2 linked regions of the Stegostoma tigrinum genome follow. The protein of the gene in region 1 interacts with the protein of each later gene in a pairwise test. Links are inferred from orthologs where the notes say so. Each region holds a gene or a part of one and is shown in the gene's direction. Other genes may lie near its edges.

Region 1 (11,118 bases):
CCTTGACCTGCCTGTCCTCCCTGGACTGACCTATCTCCTACCTAACTCCCCACCTACGCTCACCTTTACCAGCTCCATTCCCGCCTCTTTGACCTGTCTGTCTCCTCTCCACCTATCTTCTCCACTATCCATCTTCTATCTGCCTCCCCCCCTCCCTATTTATTTCAGAAACCCCTTCCCCCTCCTCCAATTCCAAAGAAGGGTCTAGGCCCATAATATCGGCCTTCCTGTTCCTCTGATGCTGCTTGGCCTGCTGCGTTCATTCAACTCTACACCTTGTTATAGAACATAGAACATAGAACATAGAACATAGAACAGTACAGCACAGAACAGGCCCTTCAGCCCACAATGTTGTGCCGACCATTGATCCTCATGTGTGCACCCTCAAATTTCTGTGACCATATGCATGTCCAGCAGTCTCTTAAATGACCCCAATGACCTTGCTTCCACAACTGCTGCTGGAAACGCGTTCCATGCTCTCACAACTCTCTGTGTAAAGAACCCGCCTCTGACATCCCCTCTATACTTTCCACCAACCAGCTTAAAACTATGACCCCTCGTGCTAGCCATTTCTGCCCTGGGAAATAGTCTCTGGCTATCAACTCTATCTATGCCTCTCATTATCTCATAGGAGTGGAAAGGTCTTTTTTCAAGTGGCAGCCAGTGGCTAGTGGGCTACGGCATATATTCACTATATATGTTAAAGATTTAGTTGCAGGAATTAAACGTAATATCTCCAAGTTTGCAGATGAAACAAAGCTGGGTGGGAGCGTGAGCTGTGAAAAAATGCAGAGATGGTTCAGTGTCATTTGAACCAGTTGAGTGAGTGGACAACTGCATGGCAGATGAAGTATAATGTGGATAAATGTGAGATTTTCCACTTTGGTAGCAAAAACAGAAACATGGATTTTTATCTGAATGGCTACAATTTTAGAGAGGGAATATGCAATAAGGCAGGGTGTCTTTCTACGCCAGTCACAGAAGGTAAGCCTGTAGATGCAGCAGGTGGTGAAGAAGGCAAGTGATATGTCAGTCTTCATAGCAAGAGGATTTGAGAACGGGGCAGGGATGTTTTGCTGCAATAGTGCAGGGCCTTGCTGAGACTGCACCTGGAGTGATGTGTGCAGTTTTAGTTTCTTTATCTGGGCAAAGATATTCTGCCTTTGGAGCAAGTGCGACAATGGTTACCAGACTGATTTCTGGGATGGCAGTCTAAAGTACGAAGAGAGAGTGGTTTTGGTAAGTTGTATCCACTGGGGTTTAGAAGAATGGATAGTGTCACATAGAAACTTGTAAAATTTGCATAGGGCAATATAGGGTAAATGGAGGAGGGATGTCCCCAATAACCATAGAGCCCAGAATGGGGATCACAGCCTAAGAATATGGAATGGGCTGTTGAGGAGAGAGATGAAGAGGACTTTCTTCACCCAGAGAGTGGAACCTATGGACTTCTCTATTACAGAAAGTAGTTGAGACCACAACACAGAATATTTTTGAGAAGGAGTTGGATATAGTTCGCAGGGTGATAGGGAATCAAAGGATTTAGGGAGAATGCAAGATCAAGGTTCTCAGCTGGATCATCAGTTATGATCATACTGACTACCAGAGCATGCTCAAAGAGACAAGTGGCCTATTTCTGCTCCAATTTTCTATGTTTCTGTCCCTGCACAAAACACGAAAATTTGGATGGTTTATCATTCATCCTTCCCATCACTAACTCACAATTTGTTTCTCTTTTACAAATTGTTGCTGTTTGTGGCTGAGACAATAATATTGAGGGCAACTATTCATCAGGTAATCGACAAAAAGATGTGAAAATTACATATGGCGATATTATTTGTGAAAGAGACAGGCAGTTCCAAATCTGGAATGGCTAAATTAATAACATGCAAGCATTTATCAAACCTGACTAATCTGATACAAATTGTATCATGATGTGATATTTGTGCCCTGATATTAATCACTGTTCTTGTTCTCAACAATTTAAAGACATTCCTGTTTTGCTGAAATTTTTATTTCACCAGAATTGAAGAAGAACATAGAACATAGAACATTACAGTGCAGTACAGGCCCTTCGGCCCTCGATGTTGCGCTGACCTGTGAAACCAATCTGAAGCCCATCTAACCTACACTATTCCATTATCATCCATATGTTTACCCAATGACCATTTAAACGCCCTTAAAGTTGGCAGAAGACTGACAATTTTTTAAATAAGACACGGGTAGAGATCAATTCAGAGATAGTAAGAACTGCTAATGCTAGAGAATCTGAGATAACAAGGTGTAGAGCTGGATGAACACAGCAGGCCAAGCAGCATCAGAGGAGCAGGAAAGCTGACGTTTGGGTCTGAACCCTTCTTCAAAAAATGGAGAGGAGAAGGGGATTCTGAAATAAATACAGAAAGAGGGGGAGGCAGATGGAAGATGAATAAAGGAGCAGATAGGCAGAGAGGACACAGACAGGCCAAAGAGGCAGGGATGGAGCCAGTAAAGATGAGTGTAGGTGGAGAGGTAGGGTCGGCATAGGTCAGTCCAGGGAGGACAGACAAGTCAAGGAGGTGGGATGATGCTGGTAGGTAGGAGATGGGGGTGGTGCTTGAGGTTGGAGGACTGGATAGGTGTGAAAAAGGACAGACAGGTTAGGGAAGCGGGGTTGAGGTGGGCTGGTGTTGGGGATGTGGTCAGGGGAGGGGAGATTTTGAAGCTTATGAAATCCACATTGATACCATTGGGTTGCAGGGTTCCCAAGCGAAATATGAGGTGCTGTTCCTGCAACCTTCAGGTGGCATTGCTGAGGGAGATTCTGTTTTGGTAGTTGTTGCAGGGAGGGGTTGTGAAGGATGAGTTGCAGGAAATGCAAGAGACATGGTGAAGGGCGTTTTCGATCACTATGGACGGGAAGTCGCGGTGTGGAATGTCTCACCACGGGACCAGATGTGGCAGAGGTGAAGGAATTGGGAATAGGGGATGGCATTTTTGCAGGAAGGTGGGTGAGAGGAGGTGTTATCTAGGTAGCTGTGGGAGTTGATAGGCTTAAAATGGATATCGGTTTCTAGGTGATAGCCAGAAATGGAAGCAGAGAGGTCCAGGAAAGAGACAGAGGTATCAGAAATGGTCCAGGTGAACTTAAGGGTGGGGTGGAAGGTATTAGTGAAGTGGATGAACTGTTTGTGCTCCTTGTGGGAGCACGAGGCGGCACTGATACAGTCATCGATGTAACGGAGGAAGAGGTGGGGGATAGGGCTAGTGTAGCTTTGGAAGAGGGATCGTTCCACATATCCTACAAAGAGGCAGACATAGCTTGGGCCCATGCGGGTACCCATGGCTTCCCCCTTTGTCTATAAACGTGGAAGGAATTGAAGGAGAAATTGTTGAGGGTGAGGACAAGTTCAGCCAAGCCGATAAGTGTGTCAGTGGAGGGGGACTGGTCGGGCCTGCAGGTCAGGAAGAAGCAGAGGGCCTTTAAGACATCTGTATGGGGAATGCAAGTGTACAACTGGACATCCATGGTAAAGATGAGGTGTGGGGACCAGGGAATCGGAATTTTTGGAGGAGGTAGAGGATGTGGGTGGTGTCATGGATATATGTAGAGAGTTCCAGGACCAAGGGGGAGAAAATGGAGTCGAGATAGGTGGAGATACTTTTGGTGGGGCAGGAGCAGGCACAGACAATGGGTCGACCAGGGCAGTCAGGTTTGTGGATTTTGGGAATGAGATAGAAGTGGGCGGTGTGGGGTTGGGGAACGATGAGGTTGGAGGCTGTGGGTGGGAGGTCACCTAACACGATGAGGTTGTAGGTGGTTTGGGAGATGATGGTTTGGTGGTCGGAGGTGGTGAAGACCCAACAGGGCTTGGTGCTACCTCCACATCACTGAGGCCAGATGCTAGCTCTTTGACAACTCCTCCTACTGGCCCCTGGATCATGACCCCACCCCCAACCATCTGCTCCTTTATCCATCCTCCATCAGCCTCCCCCTCTCTCTCTATTTATTTCAGAATCCCTTTCTCTTCCTTCATTTCAGAAGAAGGGTCCAGACTCAAAATGTCAGCTTTCCTGCTCCTCTGATGATGCTTGGCCCCATGTGTTCATCCAGCTCTATACCATGTTATCTTGGGGAGAGATCAACTCATCTTTAGCTCTATTATTGTAATGTGTTCGCAGTATGTGGAAGTAATTACTAAGGGAAATGGGGAGGTTGCTTTTTATATGCAACTTCATCTATAGTAGCTGTAGTAGACAGCTGTGAAACATTGACCTTTATAGATATTTACATAAATAGAAAATAAACTCTTTGACTTGAAATTTTGAACAGATTACATCCAGATCTTGTTGAGAAATTTGTATTATAAATTTGAAGTATAATTTCCGAGATTTTCTGCGTTATCACTCCTTGTTCACCTTCCTGCCTTTTGCTCCATGCACTGGTGACAGACAAAGCATTTTGGTAGCAAATGGTACCAAATTCATCTGTCTAAGTACTTTTTCTCCTGAGTTACTTGCTGCAGCATGCAGGAAATTAATCTAATTCCTGGAAACCCTGAACAATTATTGCTAGCATTTCATTCAGCTATGAGAGATGAATGCTCTTAGTCTTGTGTAAGAAGTAAAATAACTTGTTCAACTTGCCCTCTTTTTCAACCACTCGAAAGTAAGGAGGTAGTGTGCCAGGTGACAGGTGCTTTAGGGAATAGGCTGCCAAAGCAGGTGTGAGATAGGATGACAAGTGCATGAGTGGGTGTAGTGCCAGTTATGTGAGTATGAAGGAAAGGGATGCCAGATAGGTGAGGCAATTGGATGGCAAGTATGTAGATGCTTACTGTAGTCAGAGTGGATTGGGGACCAGTTTGTCTCCAGTGGGGATGTGTTTCGAGTCAAGAGGAGTCAGGAGATCAGGTCAGATTTGACAAAGGTGTTGTTGGATTTTTCCAGGAGGACTATTAAGTTTAAGTCAGTCAGAACCTTTCAATGTGTTTGACTCTAACTTTGAGTTTGGGCCTTTTTTGGAGGCTTTGGGGTACTGGGTAATTGCGCATCCAGAAATTCAACTTCTAATGCAATTCCCAAAGGAGCCCAGCACTTTCAGGCCTTCCATGTAGTCGCGATGTACAAAACCAGTCACCACTGCTGCAATAACAGTTCTCTTCTTAGAAGATCAAGGCCTTTACTTCCAGGATAATATTGAGAGCTGACGAGATTCATTATGTCAGGGATCTGCAACCTGTCCTTCTGAAGCTGCATATAACTCACATTAGTGACTTGTGTAACTCCTGATTTTGATCAATCAATCCCATTTTGATAATTCAGTAATTTGTTTGTAATGTTTTAAAATTTTATTGACAACATAATTGTGAGACAGTATCAGTCAAGCAACAAAATGGTTAAAATGTTGTCAAAATGTGCTAATCCTTTTTTAAAATTATTATCAATGTTTGAGTAACGGCATTGGGTTTTTAAGATATGGTGTTTTGCCATGTGGTTGCTCTGGTCAGTTAGGTTGTCAAAGTCTGCACTATGTGTCTATCAAACTCTGCTTTAATTTCACCAGCCCGGAACTCCACGATAGCCAGAACTGGGTGGTTGTTAGAATTTCTTTCTGCACTTAATCACACTTATTTACTTTATGTTGGAGACAAGGTTTCTTTTTCTGAGCAACTTTGCAACTTGTGTAGGTTCTAAGACGACTGAACAAACATGCACATCTTCCGCATGTAATCTGTTTATCTGAAATGACATCATTGCAGGTCAGATCATTTTGAGTGATTTAAAGGGATCCATTATACAGTCAAGAATATGAGCAGCAGCTTTTGGAAAGTCTTTCAGCCACAGTCTGTAAGATGATGATATTGCATGCTCCCTTCCGCTTGATTTATTTGTAGCTCTGACCAGTTTGGGTAGAACTTCCTGTGTTTTTTGACATGATATCATTAACTAATGCAGCTACAGAGAGTGCCAGTAGCTTGGGAGCCTTGGTATGTAATATCTGTTTTTATTTTTTGTCTTTTTTTAAAATTTGCATGTGTTTGTACACTTGATTGTAAATTTTTAAGGACAGGTTTGTGTCAATGGATTTCATTGTTCCTAGGTTAAAAAGAGAAATGCTGCATGTCTGATAAGGGCTGTTTTCTCAGAAACTTTACATGAAATTATTTTTGTACAGACTTCTAAGCAATGGATCATAATGTTCTGCATTTAAAAAAGTTAAAATTACATCTGGGTGAATTGACAATTAATGACTGTATTGAGATAACTGTTTGAAAAATGTAAATACTTTAATTCACGACTTTATGTAATATAAATTGTCTTTTAAATTGTTTAATATTATGTCCTGTGAATATCTATTTCATTTCTCATATTGAAATTCAGAAGGTTTTGTCATGAATACTTTGGAATTATGTGGTGTTGTGATGTTGCTAGATCCCAATGTATTGGTTAAAACCTACTGTATAGGGAGCTTCATATCCACAATTCTTTGTACCAGTATTTGCTAACACCAACAAAGCAAGGAGTTTAAGCAAGTATTACCAAGTAGTAGTGGCCATAGTGATAGATGCAAGGACTGTTACAGCAGATGTCTTTTCACTCTGGCTGTTGGCCTTGAGGTGATCTAGAAAAAGGTCATGCAGCACATCTTGGGTTTCAGTCACCCAACAGAGCATATTTCTCAATCTTCCTCCTCTTATTTGCACCCAGTTATTTCTGATGTCTACAGCAACAAAAACAAGTTTTCTTCAATGACGGCTCCATTTCCCTTTAGATGTTTAATAATTTTAAGAAGTCAGTTTGAACATCTTGCTGTATTCAAAGGTCTTCCACATGTAAGAATGTGAATATTTTGTGCTCTGATTTCTGTAGAGACAAATTTTAAAAAGAAATTTCAGCATCCAGTTAAATAGCTGAAAGATCAACAGGTCAAGATGTCATATTTAAGATTTACTGCAACAAGTAACTTAAAAACATTTTTAACTAAACACTATCTTTGTCAGCAACTTGTATTTTCACCCTCAGAACAGCAAACCGACCTTCTCGTTCTTAGTCCTAGTGAAAATACACTTCAACACTGTTCTTTGAATAGGCAATTATTTTTTACCAAAATCTTAGCTCCCAAGGGTTTATTCCCATACTTTTCTCAGCCTCTTAACTTGCAAACTTAGAACTGCTTTTCACAGTAAAGTTTCAGTTTCCCAGAGATTCTGTCTCAAGCTGAAAGAGGGTAACCCTCCCTAACTGCATTATGGGTCTACCTACATCATATGGGGTGGCACAGTGGCTAGCACTGCTGCCTCACAGCACCAGGGACTTGGGCTCGATTCCACCCTCAGGTGACTGTCTGTGTGGAGTTTTCACGTTCTCCCTGTGTCTGTGTGGGTTTCCTTGAGGTGCTCCAGTTTCCTCCCACAGTCCAAAGGTGTGCAGGCTAGGTGGATTGGCCATGCTAAATTGCCCCATGGTGTTCAGAGATTTGTAGATTTGGTGGCTTATAGGGAGATGGATCTGGATGGTATGTTTGAGGGTCAGTGTGGACTTGTTGGGCCAAAGGGCCTGTTTCTACACTATAGGGATTCTATGCACTGCAGTGATTCAAAAAGACAGCTCACCACCACCCTTATGGTAGCTAGCGATGGGCAACAAAAGATGGTCTAGCCAGTGACCATCGCATGAATGAATAAAGAAAACAAATCCGAGTTTTCTGCACTCCTGTGTGCAAACTATTGAAACTTTTTAGTCTCTAATTTCTCCTTCTCTTCCACATCCAGATAGACACAAAACACTGTCAGCTATTCAGTGGTATTCTCGGAAAACCTGTGATCCAATTTTTACATTGGCTGCCTCTGAACCCTCCCCATCACAATGTTAATCCCATGGGTCATTTACCTCGATAGAAATGCTCACTAGCTATCTTTGAGAGCTCAATTTTCTTTGAACTTGGAAATAAATGGACAGTTAAAAGCACAATCAATTAAAACCTGACATTGTCACTATTTTTCTGAGGTTTTGGCAATTTACGGTCTCCAATGTTAACGCAAATGCTGCTGCCATTCTTTTCATTCCAGAAATGCTGTTACTCACAACTGAATGTATTTTTCCCCCATCACTAAATCATCCTTTTTTTAAGGATATTAACCACCATCAGTAAATCACCCTCGTTTTCCAATTGAATAATTTACACACAAAGTCCATTGACGTCAATTCAGACCACCAAAGTTGAGGTAGTGGGGCTGGAGGCTAAATTATAATGGAGTTGAATGGGGAAATAAAACAGTCTACCTGTTGTGGTGCCCAGCTCTCTCTAAAGGCTCAAGAGTATTGGTGAACACCTTGTGCTCCTTCTTCAAGAATACCCAGGCACGAACGTACCCACAGAAAAGCAGAGGCTGCTGCCATTGCCTCCAAGTTTAAATTCCCTGTGCCTGTTCCCGTTAAAACAATGTGACCCCTTCTTTGATTTAATGATCGAACCACCCACTCTGACCGATAGACAGATTTCAGAACTGGTCACGCAACTACCTTCATTGTGCCTTAAATTTAATGACATGGTCCCAAAACATAAAAATTGACTAAACCTCATAATTGAAACAATTGTTTTTCACGAGGGTGTTAATGATGAAATTAATTTGCAATTATTGCCACAAATGTGGGGAAGTGGAAAATAAATACCAAAATGCAATGTTGTTGAAGCAAGGGTTACATTGACACTGAAATTAGTTGAGTTAGTTGCTATTACATCTTTTAAAGAGAATTGCAAACTCTGTTTAGAGATATTCCCAGAAATTTGGCCATGTGACATCTGTCAAATGTGTTTAGTTTGTATCAAAGAGATGGGGCTCTTCGTGATTAAATGTTCATGTCAGTCGTTATTATGTGAGTGGTTGTCCAAACCAAGGAGTCATCTGTAAGCAAGACATGTGGGGGAGCACAGAAGAGGGAGAAATTCACAAAAGACAGCAAACATTGCAGGTATTGATTTTACCAGTGACTCTAATAAAACAAAATTGTACGAACATCAGTTTAGCAATGACATGAATGAATTCACAGCAGCAATTGCTTCTGAACCAACCAGTGTCATGACTGAAGTGGGAAAAGTACACGATAATTGGATCCTACTATTTCCCAAGTTGTGCTAAAATGCATAAAATTCTAGTTAGATCATGAAAATCAGCAATTTCCTTGTCAGCCTGCCATTCAGGAGAATAGAAGTCTACACTAAATTTTGTCATAAGCAGAGAATAACTCTTCATTGTAATCACACTGGCAAAAGTCAGGGGAAAGAAAAAGTATTTCTAATCCACTTTCAGCCTTAAAAAAAAACAAATAATGTATTGATTCGGTATTAAGACAGATAAAAGACGCATAGCTTGCCACAGATACACCAAGTGGGAGAACATATACAGGGAAAACAAAGTTCGGAAGATTAAAAGTCCAAATCAAAAGGTAGAATGTTATTTCTCATAGTCAATTTATACTTAGGTTACACACAGAATCATAGAATCCCAAGAGTGTGGAAACAGGCCCTTCACTGCAATAAGTCCACACCGATCCTCAGAGGATCCCACACAGACCCATCCCCCTATAACCCACTTAATTGACGCATCCCTGAACATTATGGGCAATTTAGCATGGCCAATCCAACTAACCTGCACATCGTTGTATTATGGGAAGAAACCGGAGAACCTGGAGGAAACCCATACAGACATGGGGAGAGTGTGCAAACTCCACACAGACGGTGGCCCGAGGGTGGAATCGAGTCTGGGTCCCTAGCCTTGTGAGGCAGCAGTGCTAACCACTTATAACGTCTGGAACCAAACCCAGTGACTACACAAAGGCCAATAAGCTCTTTCTTTGTGACACTTCTCAATGGCAATTGCCCCAAACTCAGCTCAGCAACAATATTTCTAAGCCATTCCCTCGGCTCTGTCTGGATAAAAGAGAATTTTTAATTGAGTGATACAAATTTCTTTGCAGGAGAGGCTATTATCCTCTTGACTTCAACCCTACTGGTACCTGTACCTGTATTGAGACTCTTTCCTGAACTTACATTCCCCTGGACTCTTTAAACATTTATGTCAATTCCATTTTAATGGTCTTCTCTGCAACTGATTAACCACTTGTGGTGAAAAATCCCAAATTGTGGCCAATGTAAAAATGATCCTTCTTCCTTCCATAATAACATAAAACAAAGAATTGTTGATTTTGGAAAGCAGAAATAATACAGAAATTGCTGGAAAAATTCAACAGGCCTGGCAGTATCAGTGGAGAAAATGCAGAGTGAATGTTTCAGATCCAATAACCCTTCTTCAGAACTAAAAGTAGCTGATTCTTTCTTCCATCTTGGTTATTCAATGAGAGTCTGAATTCTCTGTTTCTTCATTCCCCATTTACCATCCATTGGGAACAACTTTCGTAAATGACAGTGAATTGCTAATTTATACTCATCCAATTACTGGGTGCACCTCACTGCGCCAATTCCACATAATACTTTGCTGCTGAACCAACGTCTGTGGAAATTCTGGTGACTATGTCTTTCTCATTTCTGAGTATGTATATATGCATCAAGGTTTAAAACTCAAGACCTCTTCCCCACCTGCCTAAGAATTAAACCCTTGAGACCCCCACCTCTTCTACACATGAACAACACTCTCCTGAACTTCCTCAACTCTGGGCAGCTGCCAATCATTCTTCCTGCTCTGATCTTCTCAGTTTTTGGTAACCCATTCCTTCCCATGCTCTGAATGTTCAGCATCCTTCAGCCACTGTTCACTGTTCTCCAACCTGCCATCTGGTGCTGATTCTATCTTGTCAAAAACCCTGCATGACCTCTGACTCCTCACTAATTCACTGTGACTCAGTCCCACTTCCAACAACCCTTAATCAGGGAGATTAATTTTAGAAAGAGCTAGCACAAGCAGAATAGCAGAATGGCCTCCTGGGAGCTACATATCTGTCACTCTGCATAGCTCTTAGAAATCAAGAAGTGGTTTTGGCAGAGCTGAGTAAAAACCTAACTTTATTTTGGTGATATTTAAGCCTTTGTTTTGATTGGGGTTGTGGTAGGTAATTTTTCATATCAGTTGTGGTTAAACCTTTGCCTGAAGGGATTTTTTTTTCCTTTTGCAGGTGTAT
Region 2 (11,253 bases), on another chromosome or scaffold:
AGAGGGTACAGAAGAGGTTTACCAGGATGCTGCCTGGATTAGAGGGTATGAGCTGGAAGGAGAGGCTAGAAAAGCTAGGGTCACTTTTTCTGGAATGGTGGAGGCTATAGGGTTGATGGTTAGATCTTTTTCCCAGAGTTGAAATGTCTATAACTAGGGGCATGTATTTAAGGTGAGAAGGGGAAAGTTCGAAAGAGATGTGAAGGACAAGTTTTTTTTCACAGAGTGGAAGGAGCCGAGAATGCGCTGTCGGGCTGATAATGGAGGCATGTACGATAGGGATGTTTAAGAGACTTAGATAAGCACATGAATATGCAAGGAATGGAGGGCTATGGACCAAGGGAAGCGGAAGGGATTAGTTTAGTTTGGCATCATGTTTGGCACAGCATTGTGGGCCGAAGAGCCCATCCCTGTATTGTATTGTTCTATGTTCTAAACTGATGGAGCTGGTGCCTGACAAATCTCTGGGTCCAGTGGGGCTTTAGCCTACAGTTTTACAAGAGATGGCTAATGAGGTTGTATGTGCCTTAATGTTAGTTTTCCCAAAATTCTTTAGATTCAGAAAAGGTTCCTTTGAACCGGAACATAATAAACATAACACCTTTATGTAAGAAGAGGGAAGCAGAAAACAATAAACCAAATGGATTGACATCTAGAAAAATGTTAAAGCCGATCATTAAAGGCATTTTAGTTGCACAGTTAGGAAAGCTTGGGGTAATTGTGGATGGGCCAGCATGGTTTGGTAAAAGAAAAATCATGTTTAACCAATTTATTAAAGTCTTTGAAGGAGAAACATGGATACAGAGAAGTCTGTAGACATACTGTACATTGATTTCCAGAATGAAAGGTGCCACATGAAAGATTATTGCTGAAAATAGAAACTCATAGAATTGGAGTAGCATTTGAGAATGGATACAGTCAAAAGCTAAACAGGTTGGATTGGAAATTCGAAAATGACAGGTGATCTCATTGAAACACATAGGTTTCTTAAAGGGCTTAACTGGGTAAATTCTCAGGAAATGCTTCCCGTCATGGAGAGCCTAGGCTTGGCAGGCATTGTCTTAATGTAAAGTCTGCCAATTTAAGATTGAGATAAGGATGAATTTCTTCTCTCAGTGGGTTGTCACTTTCTGTAACCCCTCACCACAGCCAGCTGTGGGGGCAGAGTCCTGTATACATTTCAGTTCTCGAGCACCCTTTTCCTCGGGTGGCTGAAGGCTGTGCTAGCACACTAGAGGTGATGCCAGATCTTTTCATCAATAGTTGATTTGGCTGACTGGACGCTTCAAAGGTGTTGGAAGTGGTCAGTGTTCTCTAAGGCCTCCCCAGGGGCCAGGATGATTCAGGGTTCACTCCACAATTCCAAGCCAAGTTGATGGAGGACCTTCAACTTGCGGATATTCAAAGTGAGCGCCATGCTCTCATTTAGCCTCCATAAAGATGTTGATGATGGTCTGGAGTTCTTCCTCTGAGTTTGCACATATGCAAGCATCATCTGTGTACTACAGCTCAATGACACTGGTTGGGGTGACTTTCGTTTTGGCTTGAAGGTGGTGGCGGTTGAATAATTTCTCGCTGGTTTTGTAGGTTAGCTCCACTGTAGCAGGGACCTTGTCAGTGCTGAGGTGAAGAACTGCAGTGAAGTAGAACAGGAACAGTGTTAGGACGATGATACAGCCCTGCTTTACACTGGTCTGAATGGGAAATGGATCGATGGTGGAGCCATACATCATTACCATGACTTCCATGTTGTTGTGGAGCAGGCAAAGGATGGTGACAAACTTCATGGTGCAATCAAAGCAGAGAAGGACGCTCCATAATGCTAAGATAACAAAATGTGAGGCTGGATGAACACAGCAGGCCAAGCAGCATCCCAGGAGCACAAAAGCCGACGCCTCGGGCCTAGACCCTTCATCTCTGATGAAGGGTCTAGGCCCGAGGCGTCGGCTTTTGTGCTCCTGGGATGCTGCTTGGCCTGCTGTGTTCATCCAGCCTCACATTTTGTTATCTTGGAATTCTCCAGCATCTGCAGTTCCCATTATCTCGCTCCATAATGCTTCCTGGTTGATGGTGTCAAATGTCTTTGTGAGCTTTGTAAAGGGTGCACTAACATCAGATCCGACACCAAGGCTATGGTATACAAAGCTGTGGTAGTTCTTGCTCACCTATACGGCTTTGAGACATGGTCTGTCTACAGCAGACGCCTCAACACCGCCTGCGCAAGATTCTGCAAATCCACTGGGAAGGCAGATACACCAACACCAAGACCAACATCTCCAGCATTGAGGCACTGACCATCCTTGATCAGCTGAGCTGGGATGGGCACATCGTCCGAATGACTGACACAAGACTCCCCAGGCAGCTGCTCTACTCCCAGCTACAATACGGTAGGCAAGCCCCATGTGGGCAGAGGAAGAGCTTCAGTGATACACTCAAGGCTTCCCTGCTGAAGTGCGGCCTTCCCACAGATACCTGGGAATCACTGGCCCAAGACCATCCAAAGTGGAGGAGGAGCATTTGGCCGAGCACCTTGACTACTTGCCATCAAGTTAAAATGGAAGCCTGGTGAAAACAGCAAAAGGAACGGGCTACCACCACACCAATGCACTACCCACCCCTTCCTGTGACCACCACCTGCTCCAAGTGTCACAGAACCTGGGTAGCTGCATCAGTCTGTACTGCTACTTCTGGACTCACCCTGACAGTGAGAGAGAGTCATCCTTGTCTGTGAGAGATCACTGATGATGATGATATTTAAGACTGAGACAGATTCTTGATCAGTAAGGGAATCAAGAGTTAGAAGGAAAGTGCAAGAAAGTGGAATGTGAGCCATGAATCTACTGAATTGTAGAGCAGGTTTGAGAGGCTAAGCGTCCTACTCCTGTTCCTATTTCTTATGGTTTTAAGATTGTCCGGCTGCCAGATAACAGAGAGCATGCAGAAAATCAGACTGGTAGGAGATACTGAGTGGAGTCCTGTAGGGAAGTGAAGACTTTGTAGCTAACCTTGCAGATAATACCAGGGTAGGTGGGAAAATACATTGTGAAGAAGATATAAAGATGTGGATCAATGTAGATATTTGAGTGAGAGCAAACATCTGGCAAATCAAGAAAATATAGGAAAATGTAAAGTTCTTCATGTTGGCAGGGAAAATGAAAAAGCAGATTGCTACTTAAATGGAGAACAACTGTGGAATTCTGAGGTGCAGTTTAATTTAGGAGTTTAAATGCATGAGTCACAAAAAGTTAGTAAACAGTACGGCATGTAGTTAAGAAAACTAATGGGATACTATCCTTTATTATGAGATGAATTGAAGATAAAACAAGGAAGTTAAATCATATAGGGTGTTTTTGAGACCACATCTGAAATACTGTGTGCAGATTTGGTCTACTTATTTAAGGCGGAAAGTAAAGGCATTGGAGGCAATTCATTGGAGAATTAGGGTGAGAGATGCAGTGGCTTTTGTTAAGATTCATCCAGAGTAGTTTCACAATGTAGTACTCTGTGCTCCATGGGCTGCTCCCTGGGTGCATATAAACACCGTCATCAACTTGGAACCTTCAACATAGTGGAAGACGCTCTTTGGTCTCCCCAAAATCTGTTCGCCTTCCAGTGCAATGAGTTGTCGTCAACTTAGTGACGAAGATTTGTACAATCCAACATCCAGGACTGCATGCTGAAGGATGTACTAAAGTTTGGGCCAGCTGCTGGAGAAAAGTCAACATCTAAGGCCTTTGTGCCATAAAGCATTAAAATCAGGGTCCCCCTATTTAAAACAAAGATGGGGCTTTTTTTTGACTCTCGATGAGTTGTAGGTTTTTGGAACTCTTTTCCTGAAAGGGTGGTGGAAATATAATCCTTGAATATATTTTAGGCATATTTGGATCAATTCTTGATTTTTATATAGAATTCCTGCAGTATGGAAACAGGCCATTTGGCCCACCAGCCATTTGAAGAGCATCTCACCCAGACCCAGCTGCCTACCCTTTCATTGTAGCTCTGTATTTCCAATGGCTGATGCACCTAACTTACACATTGCTGAACACTACAGGCAATTTAGCATGCCCAGTCCACCTGGCTTTCACATTTTTGGACTGTGGGAGGTAACTGGAGCACCCTGCAGAAACCCAAGCAGGCACGGGAAGAACAGCAAACTCCAAGCAATTACCCAAGGGTGGAATCAAAACCAAGTCCCTTGTGCTGTGATAATAAAATGTGAGGCTGGACGAACACAGCAGGCCAAGCAGCATCTCAGGAGCACAAAAGCTGACGTTTCGGGCCTAGACCCTTCATCAGAGAGGGGGATGGGGGGAGGGAACTGGAATAAATAGGGAGAGAGGGGGAGGCGGACCGAAGATGGAGAGTAAAGAAGATAGGTGGAGAGAGTGTAGGTGGGGAGGTAGGGAGGGGATAGGTCAGTCCAGGGAAGACGGACAGGTCAAGGAGGTGGGATGAGGTTAGTGGGTAGCGGGGGGTGTGGCTTGGGGTGGGAGGAAGGGATGGGTGAGAGGAAGAACCGGTTAGGGAGGCAGAGACATGTTGGACTGGTTTTGGGATGCAATGGGTGGGGGGGAAGAGCTGGGCTGGTTGTGTGGTGCAGTGGGGGGAGGGGACGAACTGGGCTGGTTGAGGGATGCAGTCGGGGAAGGGGAGATTTTGAAACTGGTGAAGTCCACATTGATACCATATGGCTGCAGGGTTCCCAGGCGGAATATGAGTTGCTGTTCCTGCAACCTTCGGGTGGCATCATTGTGGCAGTGCAGGAGGCCCATGATGGACATGTCATCAAGAGAATGGGAGGGGGAGTGGAAATGGTTTGCGACTGGGAGGTGCAGTTGTTTTATGCGAACTGAGCGGAGGTGTTCTGCAAAGCGGTCCCCAAGCCTCCGCTTGGTTTCCCCAATGTAGAGGAAGCCGCACCGGGTACAGTGGATGCAGTATACCACATTGGCAGATGTGCAGGTGAACCTCTGCTTAATGTGGAATGTCATCTTGGGGCCTGGGATGGGGGTGAGGGAGGAGGTGTGGGGACAAGTGTAGCATTTCCTGCGGTTGCAGGGTGAGGTGAGGTAGGAGTGCTAGCCACAGAGTTAAACTTGCCACTTGTTGGGCAAGGATTATCAGTGGTAGGCAAGGGCATGGATTTGAGATTAAGATCAGATCAACCATGATCTTATTGAATGGTGGAGCAGTTGTGATGGGCAGATAAGCCTACTCTTTCTCCTGGTTTGACAGTTTGCATGCACTATTCAAGTCTAAATGCAGACTGTGTTTCACCAATTTCTTCTTCCAATGGGTGGTTATTTATACCTATCGTCATTTTCAAGATCACGTAAAGTAGTAAACTTGTTTAAAAATGATTGCACACCTATCTTCTTTTCTCTCCATCTTCGGTCCGCCTCCCCCTCTCTCCCTATTTATTCCAGAACCCTCTCCCCATCCCCCTCTGTGATGAAGGGTCTAGGCCCGAAACGTCAGCTTTTGTGCTCCTGAGATGCTGCTGGGCCTGCTGTGTTCATCCAGCCTCACATTTTATTATATTGCACTCCATTGCGTTAGGTTTCTTTGGTATCTTGACCAATAAACGTCAAGTCAGTTGGAACGTATCCTTTGGTATATATTTCATTATAAATTTCCATTGTCACTACTAGTTCTGTTTCAAGGGTTGAGTAGCTTCTTTCCTCATTGTATGATGATGTAGAAGTAACTTTAGAAAGGGAAATTGGATAGTTTGAAAAAGAGTAACATTTTTAAGAACCCTAGATACTGTCTTGAAGGCGCTATCTAATTACAGGTTGTTGTTGGCACCCCCGGTTTCGTCATTGGTTACGTGCAAGGGCGGGGTCGGTTGGGTCACGTGACTGGGTGACGTTGCGGTTTTGGTGGATCAGTTTTTTCTGCGTCGAGCCGATTCATAAACAAACGTCGCGAGCTGGTCACCTGGTCAGAGCGCTAGTTAACTGCTAGTTAACTGGTTTAATCGCCACCTCTCCATTCACTATCCCCCTCAGCTTTCGTTACCGCATCCAGAATGGAAGCGGATCCACAGGGTAAGAACTAATAGAGCCCGAAACTACAATATATCAAACTGTTCGTGAGCAGGGACTCGGAGGGAGGAGAGGGATCGGGGAGAGAGATCGGGGGGAGAGGGATCGGGATCAGGGAGAGAAGGATCGAGGGAGAGGGATCGGGGGAGAGGGATCGGGGAGAGAGGGATCGAGAGGGAGTGGGATCTGGGGAGAGGGAGCGGGATCAGGGAGAGAAGGATCGAGGGAGAGGGATCGGGGGAGAGGGTTCGGGGAGAGAGGGATCGAGAGGGAGTGGGATCAGGGGGAGAAGGATCGAGGGAAAGGGATCGAGAGGGAGCGGGATCAGGGAGAGAAGGATCGAGAGGGAGAGGGATCGAGGAGAGGGATCGAGAGGAGGAGGATGATGAGAGGGAGTGGGAGGAGGTCGAGGATGAGGAGAGGGAGCGGGAGGAGGTCGAGGATGAGGAGAGGGAGCGGGAGGTGGATGAGGAGAGGGAGCAGGAGGAGGATGAGGAGAGGGAGCAGGAGGAGGAGGATGATGAGAGGGAGCGGGAGGTGGTCGAGGATGAGGAGAGGGAGCGGGAGGTGGATGAGGAGAGGGAGCGGGAGGTGGATGAGGAGAGGGAGCAGGAGGAGGAGGATGATGAGAGGGAGCGGGAGGAGGTCGAGGATGAGAGGGAGCGGGAGGAGGTCGAGGATGAGGGGAGGGAGCAGGAGGAGGTCAAGGATGAGGAGAGGAAGCGGGAGGAGGAGGATGATGAGAGGGAGCGGGAGGAGGTCGAGGATGAGAGGGAGCGGGAGGACGAGGATGTGGAGAGGGAGTGAGAGGAGGACGAGGATGAGGAGGGGGAGCGGGAAGAAGAGGAGGAGGTTGAGGAGGGAGAGCGAGAGGAGGAGGAGGAGAGGGGGCGGGAAGAAGAGGAGGAGAGGGAGGTGGAGCAGAGGGAGCGGGAAGAAGAGGAGGAGGAGAGGGAGCGGAAACAGAGAAGGACGAGGAGGAGAGGGAGTGGGAGGAGGAATAGGAGTGAGATGTGGAGAGAGAGAGAGGAGGAGGAGGATGGGGAGGGGGAGCGAGAGGAGGAGGAGTGGGGACTGGGTAAGGAGCGATGGGGGAAGAGGAGTGTTGACCAGGGAAGGAGGAGGAATGGGAGTGAGATGTGGAGAGGGAGGGAGAGGAGGAGGAGGAGGATGGGAAGAGGGGGCGAGAGGAGGAGGAATGGGGGCTGGGTAAGGAGTGATGGGGGAAGAGGAGTGTTGACCAGGGAGGGGGTTGGTGGAGGAAGAGGAGGGGTGGTTGGTGCAGAAGAAGTGGAGGGCTGGTGGTGCGAACCAAGTGAGGGATTGGGACTGCAGCCCGGCCAGTGGCCTCCACTTCAAGGCAAGCATCCTACCCCACTGCAATAACAGAGGCCGTTCTGGATCAACATTAGGTTTCCTTCAAACTTCTGTTTGATTTTCTTCTTCACCTCCTCTCCCTCAGTCTCTCCACTTGCATTACTGTGTGGTGAACCTGTTGTCACCTCCACCGTTTCTCTCTACAGATGCCCCTGTGTTTTATTGAGAGATGCGTGCTGACATTGGGGGCAGTGTTTCTTGGAATGTATTTGTCTCCCAGTCAAATAATGGGCATCTTATCCTGCGTTTTAGTATTTATATTGTAACAAGCATGTTGCTAATTAGATGTGTTGCTGCTGTCAATGTGCTGTGTAACTACGTTAAATGTGCATTTGACACAAAAAGTCTCTGTAACCTTGTACAATTGTTGTAACCGTATTCCCTCCTTTGCGAGGAGTGTTTTTAAATCTCAACTCTGAGTTAAATTGTAAAGTTTTCCCCCATACTTTGCTGCACCAATATGACTTTTTCACTGATTAACAGTGATAATTTAAACTTGCTAGTTTCCAGATGGAGCTCGCTATTTGTGTTGAACTCAAATGAGGCCAATGTGTTTCGTTATCAATATGACTGTCCTAGTTGTACTGTAAGCTGTTACTGTCCAAATTAAGCAAGAGACGTACAGTCTGTAAAGACTGAGCATTAAACCTTGTTCATAATGCAGTTTGATCAGTCATTGTAACTAGATACCTTTTAATTTTGAACACACATGGTGGTGAGGATCCTAGGGTGATAGATTTACTGTAACTTGCCCCAAATTGCCCTTGACAAGCATGAAGGTAGATCATGCATACTAATTGATTGTGAGGAGCAGTTGAGCTAAATCTTGTTGCCTCCCACCATCTAACTCCCACTTTCCACCATAGGTGGATACTGATGAGGATTCTTAGGTAATTATTTTCCTTCTCTCCCATTCCTCCCACTCTTTGCATAAGCTTGGAGGTAGTCAATACCAGTTCTAACCTCCTCCCTTCCTGTAACCTCTACATTTTGGTTAAGTGTGAATCCAACATTCCGACTTGGAATGGTCTAATCAACGCCACACATGGTTTTCTGTTTCGTCATGCAGTTTGGGAAGGAGAAAATTGTTAACTAGCTTCAGGGTAGGTGAGAATTGTGACATGTGACAGCACTGATCGAGGATAGTCAACCTATCGTGCCTGTGTTGGGGTAAATCTGTTGAATGTTGTTGAAACCTGCATGATGTAAAGGACTCAATCTTTCAGGATACACTTGCAAAGCGATGCGCACAGGGAACTATTCAGAGTTATCTAATTGGGTATTGTTGTGCTCTTTAATCTGTGTTCCTGTGGCCTTCAAATGTTCATTGTCTTCGTGCTGACAGTGTAACTATTTTTGCAGGATTCTCTGAAATGATCTCATGGCAAACTTTACAAAAGGCTAAAATGTTTGGTGTAGTTAATTTAGTTTTCATGTTTTTCTGCTGCTGACTTGTGGGATTTATTTAACATTCCAGGCTGACCATAAATGCCATAAAATTGCATTGTTGCATTCTCCACTATGGAGTTTTCTGAGATTGTTGCACCGTCATTCAGGTTTCTTCATACACACTCTCAGCAGCTCAATTTTGACAAGTTTCACATTGTTTTCCTGGAAAATCTACACTACGAGGGCATCATTCTTTTGGCAAGTGGTTCATGTGTTACCTGTTGTCATCCTTTGCTATACTGTTCTCCATTACTGTAAGTTCAGGGTTTACCTTTGGAAGGCCAGTGGCAATCCCAACTGACAACTGACTGATTACTCATTTGCTTATTGTTTTGGGACCTAAATGATGGTGCATATAAGATATGGTTTTTGCTTCCATCCCTTACAAATGAAAATACTCATCAGCCTGTTTTTAAAATAATTTGAGTAGCATGCATCCTGTTTCCGTGCATTTGTCAAGTGACCAGCTGCCTATATGAACCTCCATTCTTTGTTTTTCAAATGCAATTTGCTTTCTTCTTCCTCCAAAGTAATCCAGTCAAGAATACATTCAGCCAAGGACAGTGTGCACTTTAACCTCTTGCAACGTACTATATTTGCAAATACAGCTAGCCAAGTATATTAACTTGGCATCCAACTTGCAATTACCAATTGACACATAATTTGTGAAGTGTAGGTACAAACTGATGAGCCATTTCCTAGGATCAGATGGGTTTCCTGTATTTTTTTCTCTTTCCTGAACATATGTGAAAAGTAATTCCCATGATTTCATTTCCTCTTAGTAGTTATCCTCACAATCACTTTAATGTATAAAATTTTAATGTTTATCTTTAGATTCTTTCCCTCAACAGCAGTGTATTCTAATACCTTTGTTTACTGACTCTTATTTTTATACTGTAATTGTTTCATATTGGGCGTGTGGGATTGGTATTGGAGTAGGAGTCAGGGAGGGAAGAGACAGAAATTACTAATCAGTGACTATTGGCAGCCTCATAATGATTTGGACTGTGGTGCTGTCACAGATGAAGTGTCCAGTTCCATCCCTCGCTTAAACCTGTGAATGAATTTCCTGTTGAACTGAAGCCCAAATTGTAATGTTGTTTTCTGGTAGATTTGTGCAAAGATACATGTTTGTCGCGTCCACACTTATATTATCAACATGCTTGACATATGAGTGACCTGTTGGTATCCACACAGATTAATACTTTACAACATGCCATCTTGAATTGCTGCAAATTGTAATTTTGCCTGAGTAATATTGTACTTCTGAAAATTTTTAGTTTAATCTAATATTATAAAATACTTACACTGCAGTGAGAAGAGGCAGCATTTGGAAACTGATCTAAGATGTGCTTTTCAAGAGAAGTTATGTTGACTGCTGGTTTGTTTTGCTTTTGGGGTTAAACTTATTTCATCAGTGGAAGAATCCATGGTATTTTATTTTTATAGAGTTGGCAGGCATCTAAAACTAAGATTAATTTACCAAAAAAGAAGGCATATATTTTTCTTGTGTCTGCACAAGCAACATGAGTTGAGCTTTTGGCACTATTTAACGAGGGAAGAAGATGTTTTTCAAGAAATAGTGTAGTCTTAAATAGTTGAAAGAGACATGCAAGTACAGAAGGCAATTGTGGCGGGCTAGGTGTCATATTAAGAAACTTGGGGAGTCTCACATTTGATGGCAGGATGGAATAACTGCAAAGTATATCGAAATGGGTGAGATATAGATGTTTAGCATTTATGGTCCATCTGTGATAAAGTGAGAGAAGGTGGAGACAACAGCTTACTAGGCTATTTCAGAGGGCATTTAAGAGTCAAGGACAAAACAGAAATTACTAGAAAAAGCCAGCAGGTCTGACAACATCTCCACAGAGTTTTTGTGTTAGATTTCCAACAAGAGTCAGTCAAATCGAAACGTTACCTCTGATTTCTCTCCACAGATGCTGCCAGAGCTGCTGAATTTTTCCAACAATTTCTGTTTTTGTTTCTGATTTACAGCATCTGCAGTTCTTTGTTTTATGAGTCAAGTGCATTTGAAATAGGTCTGGAGTCACATATAGGCCAGATCAGATTTCCTTTTCTGAAGTGTATTAGGGAATCTGGATTTTTTTTAATGAAAATCTTGTGGCAGCTTTTTCCTACAGATTTATTTAATTAACTGAGGTTAAATTTTTCACCTGCCTTTTTGGGATTTGAGTTCAGTTCTCTATCGTTGGTCAAGTCTCTGGATCACTAGTTGATTTGATGTAACCATTCTGTAATCATCCCTGGCAGGACTAAAATACCAATGACTTTTCTTGTAAAGTTGAAGTAGAATCTGGAAGCAATTTATGTAGCCATGAGCATGTTAGGAATTTTAAAAACTGAGCTTGAAACATGA

The links.
Region 2: the proteins of ipcef1 (region 1) and cytohesin-3 interact in binary tests that used the Homo sapiens proteins (3 or more experiments, as listed by UniProt). The link is inferred for Stegostoma tigrinum from reciprocal best matches to the Homo sapiens genes IPCEF1 and CYTH3.

The regions. Positions count from the first base shown.
Region 1 is NC_081362.1:38,133,108-38,144,225, reverse strand, and holds the start of ipcef1 (interactor protein for cytohesin exchange factors 1), read left to right. Parts: upstream 1-5,889; 5' UTR 5,890-5,915; coding exon 5,916-5,969; intron 5,970-11,118. UniProt on the Homo sapiens protein: Enhances the promotion of guanine-nucleotide exchange by PSCD2 on ARF6 in a concentration-dependent manner.
Region 2 is NC_081376.1:34,543,683-34,554,935, forward strand, and holds the start of cytohesin-3, read left to right. Parts: upstream 1-5,871; 5' UTR 5,872-6,031; coding exon 6,032-6,050; intron 6,051-11,253. UniProt on the Homo sapiens protein: Promotes guanine-nucleotide exchange on ARF1 and ARF6. Promotes the activation of ARF factors through replacement of GDP with GTP. Plays a role in the epithelial polarization.